Linked DNA regions of Nothobranchius furzeri. The protein of the gene in region 2 interacts with the protein of the main gene of each other region in a biochemical or structural test. Links are inferred from orthologs where the notes say so. Each region holds a gene or a part of one and is shown on either strand. Other genes may lie near its edges.

The links. The genes of interacting proteins can lie anywhere in the genome.
Region 1: the proteins of disks large homolog 4 (region 2) and sema4c form a complex in vitro, tested with the Homo sapiens proteins (2 studies listed by BioGRID and IntAct, with this or other methods). The link is inferred for Nothobranchius furzeri from reciprocal best matches to the Homo sapiens genes DLG4 and SEMA4C.
Region 3: the proteins of disks large homolog 4 (region 2) and gucy1a2 interact in a test that uses a peptide from one of them, tested with the Homo sapiens proteins (2 studies listed by IntAct, with this or other methods). The link is inferred for Nothobranchius furzeri from reciprocal best matches to the Homo sapiens genes DLG4 and GUCY1A2.

What each region holds. Positions count from the first base shown.
Region 1 is NC_091757.1:30,300,771-30,305,305, reverse strand, and holds the end of sema4c (semaphorin-4C), read left to right. Parts: intron 1-1,695; coding exon 1,696-1,787; intron 1,788-1,998; coding exon 1,999-2,894; 3' UTR 2,895-3,126; downstream 3,127-4,535.
Region 2 is NC_091750.1:46,441,723-46,447,121, forward strand, and holds the start of disks large homolog 4, read left to right. Parts: upstream 1-1,592; 5' UTR 1,593-2,453; coding exon 2,454-2,570; intron 2,571-2,661; exon of another isoform or gene 2,662-2,748; coding exon of another isoform or gene 2,749-2,790; intron 2,791-5,399. UniProt on the Homo sapiens protein: Postsynaptic scaffolding protein that plays a critical role in synaptogenesis and synaptic plasticity by providing a platform for the postsynaptic clustering of crucial synaptic proteins.
Region 3 is NC_091753.1:35,403,206-35,408,072, reverse strand, and holds part of gucy1a2 (guanylate cyclase soluble subunit alpha-2), read left to right. Parts: intron 1-3,441; coding exon 3,442-3,585; intron 3,586-4,867. UniProt on the Homo sapiens protein: Has guanylyl cyclase on binding to the beta-1 subunit. Isoform 2 acts as a negative regulator of guanylyl cyclase activity as it forms non-functional heterodimers with the beta subunits.

The DNA of each region.
Region 1 (4,535 bases), on a different chromosome or scaffold from region 2:
CTCCAGCTCGGCTGTGTGACCACTAACCTGTCCTGTGTGACCCTTACCATGTAGCCCTCATGTCCATGCTGTCTCTGGAGGAGCAGATAGGAAATGAGATCTCCTGTAACTTAAAAATGAACCAAAGCTTCCTCCCAGTTTCTCTTTCAGCTGAATTTAACATCAGTTTATCTTCATGAAACAAAAGAATAAAGTGGAACAAGAACTTCTATCTTCTATTTCTCTCTCCTTTTAACTTCTCCGTGTCCCTAAATAAAAGAGACAGACGATCACGCTGCAGCCGCCGCCACTGACCCCGCTCCCTCCCCAAGACCGGATCTCCCGACATCACAGCACTCGGTCTGACTGAGCGCTTCCAGGAGAAACAAAAATGAAATTATGGAAATAATAATGCATGTTTGGAGGAGTGTCCTCCGATTCCCCCCCCCCCCCCCCCCCCCCCCCGACTCTCTTTCTCTCTCAGTCGCTGATGGAGCGAGCGGAGCGCGCTGCACGACAACCCGCTCAATTAACATAGCTCACGACCCAAATCCAACAGAACCGATCGGGCTGATTCGGTTAGGGTCCTGTCTCAGGTTCTAACTCCAGTGCTCAGCCCTGCAGTACCACATAAAGGCGGACCAAAGTTTCCTACCCGGTAAATGTGGAGAACACCACTCTTACAGATGTGGATGCTGCGCTGGTGCCGCCGTTAACATAACAAAACCACATTCCACTGTAATTGATTATGGTACTCTTCTATGATGCAGAATCGTTTATGCTCGCATCTCATGCATTGATTATTTGATTATTTTCCTCAGCTCTGTCTATCCTACGCCTCCCGGTCGGCCGTCGGGGGTGGGGGTGGAGGGTGCAGGCGGGGTTTGGGGGCCACAAAGAGAGGGCTCGCGGGCTGGACGTGGCCCACGGGCCACTATTTGCGGACCACTGATGTGAAGGCTTGTGTTATATCTATCATGTCTAGTATTACTGAAGTACGTGTTTTATCTTTTTTGCTACTTTTGTTTGCTCTACACCTCCTCATGTACAGTAATGTTTACCCCGGAGCCGTCAGCAGCTCGTCATAGCTGCTGATAGGAACCGCTGTGGTCAACAGAACCTTTTCCACCAGAGCGGTCAGCAGCGCGAGTCGGCCACGTCTCAGGAGCAGCATGTCGCGGCCTTTACGCGCCGGTTCTATTTTCTACCCGCGAAGCCTCTGAAACGGGTCAAGTTCGACATTTTTGGGGAAGGAAAGACCGGAAATGGGATGCGGAAACGGAGCGAAGCTCCCGAGATTTTCAGAATAAAGAAACGTACTGCCTTCCGGTTGCTTTACTTTAAAAAATAGTTACTAACTGTGCGTCCCCGTGAGAAGTTATCACCTAGCTAGCGGTCTCCTTTGTTTTTCAGGTCCGTATTGGCGATTATAAAATGGACAGAACATAAAACACAAACCTTTTGGAGCCATGTTGTAGTTTTCTCCTGCTTGTTGTTGTGTTTACTGACGAAGTCACTCGCGTGACTTCGTGCTCTGTCGGTGACAGCTGCTCCCCTGCTGCTTCGCGTCTCGTGGGAAGGGCCAAGCAGCAGCTTACGCGAGCAAGACGTGCTGCTGCAGTAACGTGCTGCTGACGGCTCCGGTGGAAAGAAGGGGTTAAGCTCTCTCTTTCAAATCTGAATGTTGTCTTCTTCATTCACCCCTCTCGTGTCCAGGTCCACCTCGTCCCTCTCACAGGACCTCATGCTGGAGAGGTTCAATCGTGGGAAAGCCAAGTTCGATAAACCCGTCTCCATCCCCAGCCCCGGTGAGTATAAGACAGTGCCTCATTAGTGACCTCTGGTGGTACTGAACTGTCACTGCAGGTCAGGTTTTCTGCAAGGTGGAATGGAGCAGGACTGAGTTAATAAATAAATGGAGCTAAGCAGAAAAGTGCTGTCTGGATTTTTAACGGATGAAACAACCTGAACTTTTGTGTTCTCCTCTCTTCTCTCTTGATCCCTCATGTTCTTCTGCAGAGCACTCCCATCTGAGAAATGTCACAGTGGTTGTTGGGTCCGACATGGTGCTGCCGTGCCAACTCGTGTCAAACTTGGCTCAGCCGTTCTGGGTTGTCAACGAGCGGGAGCTGCTGCTGGGTGACCCAGAAGCAGGAGGGCCACGCTTCGACAGAGCCCTCAAAGCCCTCATCATCCCCGAGGCAGGCCAGATGCAAGCAGGCCGCTACATCTGCTACTCTGAGGAGCAGGGGGTCAAGTTTCAGACGGAGCGCTACCAGGTGGCGGTTGTTGCCAGTGCTCCGGTATTCATGGAAGCCCGAGCTCCGGACAGCAGCATGGGGCTCTTCTGGGTGCTGGTCATCACTCTGGGCGCGGCGTGCCTGCTGCTCTTTGTGGTGGCTCTCTATCTGCGTAGGAGGCTGAAGCTGGCTCTGGGGAAAGGAGCTGACATGAAGCCTCTGGAGAGCACTTTGGTCTACCCCGTCACCCTGCCAAAGGAGCCACCCACCTTTGTGCCCAGCAAGATGCCGAGCGATGAAGACCGATTCTGGGAAACAGGTGCCAACTACTACTACTCAGACGGTTCGCTGAAGATCGTTCCCGGACACGCCCTGGGGCCCAGCAGCGTCAGCAGCACGGCATCACCCAGCGCCATTCCTGGCCAGCCCATCCACTCCCCCAGCCGTCTCAGCCTCACCAACATCCGAGGCTCTGGTAGCAATGGTTACATCCGCCTCAATCTGAGCACAGCAGGGGAGGAGAGGGCTAGTGGGGCCGGCGCTGGGGGTGGCGGGCTGGGAGGTCTCAGCGTGGGTGGGAACGACTACTCCAGCCCATTTAAGGAGGAGCTTAGACGCACGCTGCAGCAGAGAAGCGTCCTGCCTGACGCGAACCCGGAGGAGTCGTCCATCTAGACCCGTCTTTCCAGCTCCGTTCCCTGAGGTGGAAAAACAAAGCAACCAACCTACCTCCCTCTTTGTGAGGATGCCTGCTCTCTCTGTCTTCTAGTGACATGCCGTCGACACCCACGCTCTCTATCTCTGCTGATGCCTGACTGGCTCTCTTAAGACGTTTATAGCACACAGCATGGTTATTACACACACTCATACAACATGCATTCCTATAATTGCTGTGCTGTGGGCAACACGCAGTCATGGTTGTGACTTTCTCTGCTTCCACTGTGCAACTGCCACTTGTGTAAATTTTGTATTTAAAAAGGATGAACGCAGAGGCGACCTCCTCTGACATGGAAACCCAACAAACGTTTTGCTCTCTGAAGGGCACATTTCGTTCTTTTACATTGAACTCATCCTTCGCGCTGAAACCAGTAGGCGACGAGAGCAAACAACTGAAAAAAACGGGCCCGGTTCTGTGTTTGTGTTGCTTTAGAACGTTTTCTGCTTACTGCACCTGAAAACTGGAAGCGTGTCTTCCCTATTTTCTACTCGTGAGCCAGGAAGGAGAGCGCTACTAAAGAAATACTAATTAATCAGCAAGCAAGACGACAATCATGTCCCTGTGGCAGGAGCTCCGAGTGGGACAAGAAGAGGAGAGGAGCGACGAGAGGCAAAAAGAATACAAGCAAACAAAAAAGTGAAGCAAACAAGAGTTAAAGATGCAGGGGGGGGGGGGGGGGGTGAAGGACTATCTCTAAAAACATTTTCTGCTTGATTTACACCCCCCACCCCAACCCCCACCCTCCACGACGCATTTACTGCTGAAGGAGTTCTTCAGTTTCTTCCACTTTAATTTAATGTGATGGTTGGTTTGAATTAATATATTTCTTGTCGTTCTTTTTCCGACTCACGGACTACAGCAGTGTTGTAACAGTTTGAGAGTGACTAATGGCTCACCTCTGTGAAAGACAATGCGAGGGTAACCTCCTTAACATAACATTATTCCTGACTCGGTCCTGCACGGTGACCTTCAAATCTACAAGTGCACTCCCTGTGACATTTATTCGAATCACAGCGTGTTACAGGCAGACTGGTGTTTCTGATTCAGACCTTTGAACGCTCGATCATCCCCAGGACAAAACAAAAAGGCTGTTTGCTTTCAGCTCATAGCGGTGGAACGATGATTGCACAGATAACTCCAAACTGAAGTTGACATGATGACAAAAGGGCACGGAGAATGTAAATGCACCCTCGTTGTTGCGACCGCTGTGGATGTCTCAGTAAGTGCTTTATGTGTTTGGTGAGGGTGGAAACTTGCACTGCCAAGAAGGAAACTACCACTCCAACACACACCTTCACCTTCTAATGGATCCCAGCCATCCCAGAGTACAAAGTGATTGTGACCTCCTGGAGCCCCCATCCCCTTTTACCGATGCCCAGAGACTGATCTGGGGTTACTGTGGACACCGACACACACAAACACGCAGTATTAGTGGAAGAATGGACAGACAGACGGGCCGATTGCTGCCGTGGTGACAAACACCTGGCTCCAGAAGAGAAGCAGCCATGAACCAATGAAAGGTACTTTAATTCATTCAAACTTCTTACTCTTCATTTACAACAGTTTTCATTGCCTGCCACCAAAAGGTGGGAGATATT
Region 2 (5,399 bases):
ACCCTCCCTTTGAATTGTAGTCATGTTTCCTGCTCTTTTGTATTAGGTTTTATTCTTAGGTCAAGTGAGTTTCTCCCCTGATTAGTCATTGCCTTCACCTGGTCCTCCTCCCACACCCCACTCACCTGCAGCTCATCTCCCTCTCATCCTCCCTGTGTATTTAAGCCCTGTCTTGTCTCAGTCTCTTGTCGGCCCATTGTTTGTATTCTGTCTGCGTTTGTTTGTGCTCTTTATGAGCTTTTTGTCTCGTCCCCAGACTTTGTGCTCTAGGTGAGCTTCTGTTTCAAAGTCTTTGGTCTTCGTGCTCTTTGAGAGCTTTGGGTGTCCTGTGCTCCAGGACTTTGGACTTTAGGCTCGTTGCCTTGGATTTATTTTTGTTAAAACTCTAATAAAATAATTTTTTCCTTATATTTACTCCTGCCTCATGTCCTCCTGGGTATCTGCATATTTGGGTCCTAAACATCCCCGAAACGTGACAAGTTTCTCAATATGCGTACTTGTGAAACGTCACTGAAAATGGCATCATCATCAACACTGGCCCAAGTATTGTTCCAATCTACCATGGCAAGTTCCCTCAAGATTGCGTCAACGCAACCTTCTGCAGACTTGGGCCTGCAAGGACAGTGGCTTGTAATTCATCATGCTTAGGATTACAAACCGTTGTACCTCAAACTGAAAATGGCATAGGAGAAAGCTCGTAGCTCTAGAGTATTCATGTCAAAAATACAAATAATGAAGTCTAGAAAAATAAATTAAAAGTTGTTTCTTATTGTAGATAATTGTCCATCCATCCATTCATTATCTGTACCCGCTTGTCCACGCAGGGTCACGGGGGGCTAGTGCCTATCTCCAGCAGTCTACGGGTATAAAAGCGGGTACACCCTGCACAGATTGCCAGTCCATCGCAGGGCAACACAGAGACACACAGGATAAACAATTAACCATGCAAACATTCACACCTAAGGACACTTTAGAGACACCAGTCAACCTGAACGTCATGTTTTTGGACTGTGGGAGGAAGTGGGAGTACCTGGACAGAACCTGTGCATGCACAGCGAGAACATGCAAACTCCATGCAGAAAGACCCCAGGTTGGAATGTAAACCTAACGCTAACAACTGTGTAGCCCACCATAGATAACTGTGCGTGTAACCCATACATTTGCTGTGTGGGTTTTATAATACCTCAAAATGAAACTTAGCTCATCCACTATTAAAATAAAACCAACGTAGCTTTAAACAGCTCTGTTTGATGAAAAAGTAACATATTTTTCTTCAACATGCCGTGACGTAATGGAGTACGGTTCAGATCCAAATGCCGTCCTTGTACCCCCGTATTCGTTAGAACGGACTTTCTCCTGTACTTATCAAGAACGCACTTGTCAGTTACTCAAGAACATGCTAGCATAAACATCCCAGTTTTTACGTTGTGGACTTAAAGAATGCTTGTGACTGCACACCTCACTTCCAGTTGTTACTGCTAGGCGTTCTGGAAGATCACTGTTGGTCCATGAAACCCAAATGGTCCCTGAACATCGATGATGTGGACATTACCATCTTCCTGTGGAGAAGAGTGAGTTCAGATTCATCTGAGCAGCTCATCAGTGCCGAGGAGAATCACGGCTCCTCTGCATCAGCGTGAGCCAGCTGAGATCATTGGCACATCTGCTAAGGATGTCCTCTGGGTACCTGTTTCCAGCATGACCCACCAGGAGGAGGCCTCCAAACAGATTTAGTAGGAATGGAGTAGTTAGATTTCCTAGCTGGTGTGGGAATGCTTTGGTTTTCCCTCGGTAGGGCTGGAAGAGGTCGCTGGGGAAATGGGGGGAGGTGTAGGGATCTCTGCTAAGGCTGCAGTCTCTGCAACCTGGTTACATATAAGACCATGGATGGATGAGTGCTTCAGTCCTTCCTCTGTCTCGCTCACCTCAGAAAACGTCTTCCACCAAACCTTAGAATTTAAAAGTTTTAGCAGGACAGCTCAGAGTGTTATCATCCCAACAAACCATCCTGTTAAGATTCTCGTGGGAATTCTGCAAAAGCAGGACAGACATCAATGTTGGACCAGTTTTCTGTAGGAATCTACTTTTTCCCCTTCGGGAGAGACTAGACTGGCTCCAATAATGGCCAAAACTTTGTAGTCGTTCAGGATCTTCGAGGAGGATCAGCAGCATGAGTCTGATAAATGAAGACGTGTGAAGGAGGATCTGCACAGAGAATAAAATGATATGGATGCACAGAAGTGTCAGAAATCTGCATGTTGAATATTTATGAAACAAGTTCCCTCTTATGTAACAGACACTTTTCTATGGGCTCTTTATTTCTGACATTGTTTCAGCGCAGGAGCAAAAGAAAGAGGCAGCGATGATAACATACTACGGAGGGTTGATTCACTGTCTCTACGTCTCCTCTCCTTGTCCCTCCCTCACTCATCGGCAGCAGCCAACATATTTTTATGAGTCACGGTCGGAGCAGACCGCTCGTCCCGTCTTTTCAGCCTCTTGCCTTTAATATCAAGATATATCCAACAGCAACAACTCTGGCTTCCAGGAAAACTCTCGCTCCTCGTCTGGTACGACACGTCCCTCCCTCCTCTTGTCTCGCCCTCCCTCTCTTTTTATTTCCTCTTCCCCTTCCCCAGCCTCGCACCCCCCCCCCTCTCTCTCTTTCTTTCTTTCTTTCTTTCTCCCCATCCCTCCCCTCCTTTACTGCGGGTGTCTGGGAGGCTGTTTTTCCTCTGTCTCTTGCTCATGAAGGGCCGCACTAAGCTCCCTTCTCTCTGCCCATGTGTGGTAGGTAAATTCACCTCTGTGTTTGTGACGTTCTTCTCTTTTCCATCTCTCTGTTGCTGCCTCTGATTTGCATGTTAGCTCAGAGTCTGCAGGCTTGAGGGGAGCTCCGTGTCTACATGTGTGTATATTGCATCGAACATGCTCGTCATCACGCTCGTCATGGAGAAATCACAAACATGTGAATGGGGATTTGGTCATTCCTTCATGTGCATTTTCCACGTATGAACACGGCCTGACACATGTACCGGTGGATCAGGGAGCATGTTCTGAAATGCGTAGGGAGGAAAACTCCAGCAGACTTGTTGATTAAAACATTGTTTGTTCCATTTAACGGCAGGTTATGCCGTAGCTTTCTTTTGTGAATTAATCACGTTGGTGTGCATTTCCATCCTACAGACCCCAGTCAGGGCCAGGTATAAAACTGTTGTGGCAGGAATTTGATATATGATTGGTGTTTATGTGCGGAAGGTGTTATGTTGCCTGTGTAAGCCTGAGAGGGTTGGTTTTAATGGGGAAGCAGAAGTCAGCACAACACCGGATGTGAAATGAGGGTTTAGGGACCGTCCACAAACTGCAGCATTAATATTCAGCAACATCTATGTCCCATCACTGAACCCTTATTAGATGTTTACGAATCGTGTTTGTGTTTCCGTCTGATGTCGTTGCATTAGTTTAAACGTTTGCTGAAGCTTCATCTTTGGTTTTTGATGTGGCTCCTGTGGACGTTAAGCTCAGAGAATGGTTTGTTTTGATTCAAATTAGACTGAGTGTAGAAGGAAGGTGACATTATTGAATTTCTTTAAGAGTTATTGGTACCATTATCTAACCTGGACCGTCCCTCCCTGCAGGAATACTCCTCAGTTTTGTCCCTTTGCCGGGTTTCTGCTGTTGCCACGTTGTTCTGTTGTGTCATGGGTGATTCTGCAGGTTGAGTGCTTTGCAGTCTTGTTTCTGATTTTATTGTATTTCTGGTACTTCCTGTTTTATTTTGTGCATTCACTTCCTGTCTCATTACAGGCAGCTTCACGACATGAGGCTCCTCACTAATCAGCCTCATGTCTTGCACCTGGGTCCTGGCTTCTCCATTTAAGCGTCTTTGCAACAGTTTCCTTTGCCAGTTTGTCTTCTCCTGTTGTGTGATGTGAACCTGCTCTCAGAAACACTTGGTAAAAGTGTATTCAGTTAGATTTGGACTTTTCAGTTGTGTTGTACTCCAGGAATCCCTTCTGCTTATTAAAACTGGGTGAGCTCTGCATTTGAGTCCTCTTTGTGCTTTGATATGTTGCTTCTTTGTGGTCATTACCTTCATTGGGGAGATTTTGGTTTTCCTCTTCAGAGTTTTTGATTCAAACAAAAAAAAAATGCAGCATTAAAAGCTTTTAAACAACTCTGTTTCCAGCTAGATTACAAATCACTCCCCTCAGGCCTTCTCCTGAGGGCCATTAGAACCTTTGTGTTTCCGATGTTTTGATCCCGTTTCTGATGATGTGGGTTGATGTGAAACTGCCTGGAGGTCAGATTCTGAGTCAGCTGAATCTCCAGACCTCCATCTCTGTTTAATCTACTGTCGTGGCCAAAAGTTTTGAGAATGACACAAATAGTAGTTTTCACAACATTTGCTGCTAAACTTCTTTTAGATCTTTAGTTTAGTTGTTTCTGTGATGTACTGAAATATGATTACAAGCACTTCATGCGTTTCAAAGGCTTTTATCAACAACTACATGACATTGATGCAAAGAGTCAGTATTTGGAGTGTTGGCCCTTCTTTTTCAGGACTTCTGCAGTTCGACTGGGCATGCTCTCAATCAACTTCTGGGCCAAAGCCTGACTGATAGCAACCCATTCTTTCATCATCACTTCTTGGAGTTTGTCAGATTTAGTGGGTTTTTGTTTGTCCACCCACCTCTTGAGGATTGACCGTAACTTCTCCATGCGATCAGATCTGGGAAGTTTCCGGGCCATGGACCCAAAATTTCAACGTTTTGGCCCCCGAGCCACTGAGTAATCACGTTATGCCACGGTGCGCCATCGTGCTGGAAAATGCATTGTTCACCAAACTGCTGTTGGATTGTTGGAAGAAGTTGCTGTCGGAGGGTGTTTTGGTACCATTCTTTATTCGTGGCTGTGTTTTTGGGCTAAATTGTGAGTGAAACTACTCCCTTGAATGAGAAGCAACCCCACACATGAATGAATGGTCTCAGGATGCTTTACTGTTGGCATGACACAGGACTGGTGGTAGCTGTCACCTTTTCTTCTCCGGACAAGCTTTTTTTCCAGATGCCCCAAACAATTGGAAAGGGGCTTCATCCGAGACTTTGCCCCAGTCCTCAGCAGTCCATTCACCATACTTTTTGCAGAAGATCAATCTGTCCCTGATGTTTTTTTTTGGAGAAAAGTGGCTTCTTTGCTGCCCTTCTTGAAACCAGGCCATCTTCCAAAAGTCTTCGCCTCACTGTGCGTGCAGATGTGCTCACACCTGCCTGCTGCCATTCCTGAGCAAGCTCTGCACTGGTGGCACTCCGATCCCGCAGCTGAATCCTCGTTAGGAGACGATCCTGGCGCCTGCTGGACTATCTTGGACGCCCTGAAGCCTTCTTAACAAGAATTGA
Region 3 (4,867 bases), on a different chromosome or scaffold from region 2:
CCATGCAGAAAGATCCCAGGCTGGGAAGCGAACCCAGGACCCTCTCGCTGCAAGGCAACAGCTCTAACCACTGCGCCAATGCGCAGCCCATGAACATTCCAATACAGATCAATTTATTAAGCCAATCAGAAAAAAGTTTGCTATATAAGGAATCCAGCAAATTGCATCGAGTCACTGCCTAGTGTCAGTGACTTTACAGCAATCCTCATACTAAGCAAGTATGCAGCGACAGTGGAGAGGAAACCTCCCTTTTAACAGGAAGAAACCTCCAGAGAATCCTGGCTCAGTATAAGCAGCCATCCTCCATGACTCACTGGGGATCGAGAAGACAGAGCACACACACACACACACACACACACACACACACACACACACACACACACACACACACACACACACACACACACACACACACACACACACACACACACACACACACACACACACACACACACACACACACACACACACACACACACACACACACACACACACACACACACACACACACACACACCAAGTAAGGTTTCTATGGTTACATTGTGATTTCTTAGCAAATATTCTATTTGGTGAGGGATAAACTTTATTGTATTTATCCTAGTGAATCTATAATTAAATGGGTAAACTAGTAGTAGCATCAAGGAAAGCAAAGTGTTATTATCAGGAGAGGGAGAATGATTAAATGGTTAGCAACAGTGTTTAGGACGATGGCCCCCCTCCATGAGACTACCACAGCTCAGCAGAGCATCATTGTAGCTTGTTCTTGGGAGAAAAACACAGAGAAAAAATAAAGTTAACAGCTGAAATTGCAGGAAATAATGCAGTTAAAGAGCAGATTGTAGAAGAAAGTAGTAGAATGTGGAAAATGGTCAGTGTGTCCTCCAGCAGTCTAAGCCTATAGCAGCATAACTACAGAGATAACTCTGGATAACCTAGCCTTTTAGATGGCGGCATGTTGGAGGCAGGGCAAGGGAGAGCCGTCTTAACCGACTGCACACTCCATCTCCCTCTACTCCCCCACTTGTCCAGATTTAGGCTAACATCAGATTTTAACCATAGGCCCTATCAAATGAAAATGTTTTAAGCCTAGTCTTAAAAGTAGACAAAGTCTCTGCCTCACGGACTAAAACTGGGAGTTGGTTCCACAAGAGAGGAGCCTTTTAACTAAAAGATCTGCCTCCCATCCTATTTTTAGATATTCTGGGAACCACCAGTAAACCTGCAGTCTGAGAGCAAAGTGCTCGGTTAAAAACGTATGGAACAATCAGGTCACTGACGCATGATAGAGCTTGATGGTTATGAGCTTTATATGTGAGAAGGAGGATCTTAAAATCTATTCTAAATTTATCAGGCAGCTGATGTAGGGAAGCTAAGACAGGAGAGATATGATCTCTCTTTTTAATTCTCATCAGAACTGTAGCTGCAGCATTTTAGACAAGGTGAAGACTTTTAACTACATTCTGTGGACTTCCTGAGCGTAATGAATTACAGTAATCCAGTTTTGACGTAATAAATGCATGAACTAGTTTTTCAGCATCACTCCTGGAAAGGATGCTTCTAATCTTAGCAATATTCCGAAGGTGGAAAATGGAAATCCTACAAACCTGTTTAACGTGGGATTTGAATGACATGTCCTGGTCGAAGATAACACCAAGGTTCCTTACATTGTTCTCGGAGACTAATTTAATGCCATTCAGGCCATGTGATTGACTAAGCAATTTCCTTTTCTGAATTTCAGGTCCAAAGATGAGAACTTCAATCTTGTCTTGATTTAAAAGCAAAAAGTTTAGAGTCATCCAGTTTTTTGTGTCTTCAAGACAAGCCTGTAATCTAACTGATTAGGTTAATCAGGGTTAATGGATAGATATAACTGCATATCATCAGCATAAAAGTGGAAGTTTATCCCATACTGTCTAATGAATGTCATGGTCTGTCTGTCTCTTTGTGTTTCTCCTTCATCCCCTGGTCTTCAGCCTTCCAGATATATCTCTCAGGTCCTGTGTTCCTTTAGTCTTCTCCAGTCACCCCTCTGCAGTGTTTATAGTTTCAGCTTTTCATTTTATTAGTCTCTTTAGTATGTTTTGTCCCACTGGTCTTTGTAGTTCTCCCTCCCTTTAGAATATTAGTTATGTGGTTGCTTTTCTTGTTTTTAGGTTTATTCTTAGATCATGTGAGTTCCCTCCCTGATTAAGTATTGCTTTCACCTGGTCCTCTAACCCACACACCTGCAGCTCTTCTGCCTCCCATTATGCCCCAGTGTATTTAAGCCCTGTCTTGTCGGGCCATTGTTTGTATGTCAGCGTTTTCTGATGCTCTGTGTGAGCTTTGTGTCTCGTCCTAGTTTTTGTGCTCTAGGTGAGCTTTTGTTCTTCTGGTTTTGGATTTTTGGCTCCCTGCCTTCGGAGTTATTTTTGTTTCATCCTACAATTAAAAGGATTTATTCTTATATCAACTCCTGCCTCGTGTCATCCTGGGTATCTGCATTTTTGGGTCCTAACCATCCCCATAACGTGACAATGAATTTACCAGTTGGGAGCATATATATAGTAAAAAGAATCGGTCCAAGCACTGAACCCTGCGGTATTCCACAAATAACCTTGGAGTATGAAGATTTGTCATGTACATTTACAAAATGATATCTATCAGACAGGTAGGATTTAAACCAGCCTAACGCTGTTCCTTTGATCCTTACAACATGTTCAAGTCTTTCTAAAAGAACATTGTGATCAACTGTGTCAAAAGCAGCACTGAGATCTAACAAGACTAGAACAGACACAAGATTCTCATCTGAGGCCATGAGAATATCATTTGTAACTCTCACTAACAGTTTCAGTGCTGTGATACTCTCTAAAACCAGACTGAAACAAACAGATCATTAGTGTTTAAATACTCACATACTTGGATGGCCACTATTTTCTCCAGGACTTTGGATAAAAATGGAAGGTTAGATATTGGTTTTTAATTCATTGGGTCATCTGGATCCAGAGAAGGCTTCTTAAGTGAAGGTTTGATTACAGCAACCTTAAAATCCTGTGGCAGTAACCTTTTATAACACAAATGTGTTTGTGTTTTTAAAAATCGACCAATAACCATTTTCACTAACTTAGTCACTCAACAGAAACATTTGCTTAAAAGGTAAATCTGTCACAGAAATCAACTGAAATTATTTATTAGCCCATTTTTATTGATCCTTTCAAGCAGATAAAAAGAAAAACTATTTTTTTAACTTCTATTGTAATAAGAATTTGAGCTATCACATTTGTGAGTTCAGAAGAAAATTTAAGGTTAAATGTGAGGTAGACACTGAGCAAACCGATGTTGGGGATTAGAGGAAAACCAATTGTTTTTCACTGGTTCTCTGCTCAGGCTCAAATAGTTTACTTCACCACACCTAATCACTATGTTATTTCTTGATTCTGGCCTTGTTATTTTCTCATGCAGATTGAAACAATAGGTGATGCCTACTGCGTGGCTGGAGGGCTGCACAAGAAGGTTGACAGTCACGCAAAACCAATCGCCCACATGGCTCTGAAGATGATGGAACTGTCTGAAGAGGTGCTGACGCCTGACGGGAAGCCTATCAAGGTGAGTTTTAATTCTCCCTACAAGTGTGTCAGGCTGTTAGGTTAGTAAATTATTGATAATAATACTTGTAATGTAAATGTGTTGACTATGTGTGTCGTTCAAAAAGGGAATAGATAAGAAACAGATGGGAATTTGTGATGTAATTAGATTACTTAAACACCTCATAAATTGTTACTGTGTTCAGGGTTTAACATTCTGATTTTATTTCCATTAAAGGGGGCATACTATGTGAAACTCACCTTCTGCATCCTTTTGTGCTGCCATGTGGATCACTACTGCCTCTATACCCCCCCCCCCCCAAAAAAAAATCAATCTTTTTTTCTGTCAGTTTTTGTTTTACGAATTTTGGCCCTAAAACAAGCCGGTTCAACATGTCCCTGTTTGTGATGTCACAAACAGGGAAATAATAAAAAAAAACAACACTTTTCACATTCAAGAGCAAGCTGATGGAGGAGCAGCAGCTCTACTTTGAGCTCCTCTTGAATAATGGAGCTTCTGTGCTCATAGCAGCCAGATCAGGGGAGGGATTGGAGTGGCCAGCTGCATTTTGTTTTCTTAAAGAGCATATTGCAGGTTAGAGCCTCCTTTGAGCAAATATTCAGAGAAACATAATAAAAACTCATTCTAAATAAAAATGAACGCATGCATATATTATTTAGGCGTTGAGAGTTGATGGAGAAAAATGTGTTTTCTGCCAAACCAGACAAGATGCAGGCAGAGGGAGTGCTGTTAGCTTGATCCAGAGAAAAATTTGGATTTTGATGCCAGCTCCGACACAGAGGAAACTTTAAATGTTTATAATTATACTTAATGGTGGATCTCAACCATACAGGTATGAACCTGATGTGTGCCCCAGAGAGCAGAGACAAGCCAGAGGGAGAAAGGAGAAATTTAGCTGTGGTGTCAGGAGGTTCTGTGGAGCGAGCAGGTGTCTCAGTGAGTGAACAATGCTAGCTAGCTTGTTTAAAGAGCAAATTGCAGGTCAATTTTTTTTAATTCATATAAAATGCTGTCCAAAAATACTATTTGAAATGCAGGAGTTTCTTGAAAGTCGAAAAGGAAACCCCTGTTCTTGTAGTGCTTGGTAGGTCATTCTACATTTGTGCAACAAATATTAATACTAATGAGCGTCTGTCAGCGGTCTCATACTCATTATCCGTTCACGTAACGTAGTTTAGTGCTTAGCGAGAGAGAGAGACACCTGTGATCCGGTTCTGGAGCTAATGCGGGCTTCTGTGAGCTGAATGCGACCCAGACACCAGCGAGCCAGTAGAGCTGATAT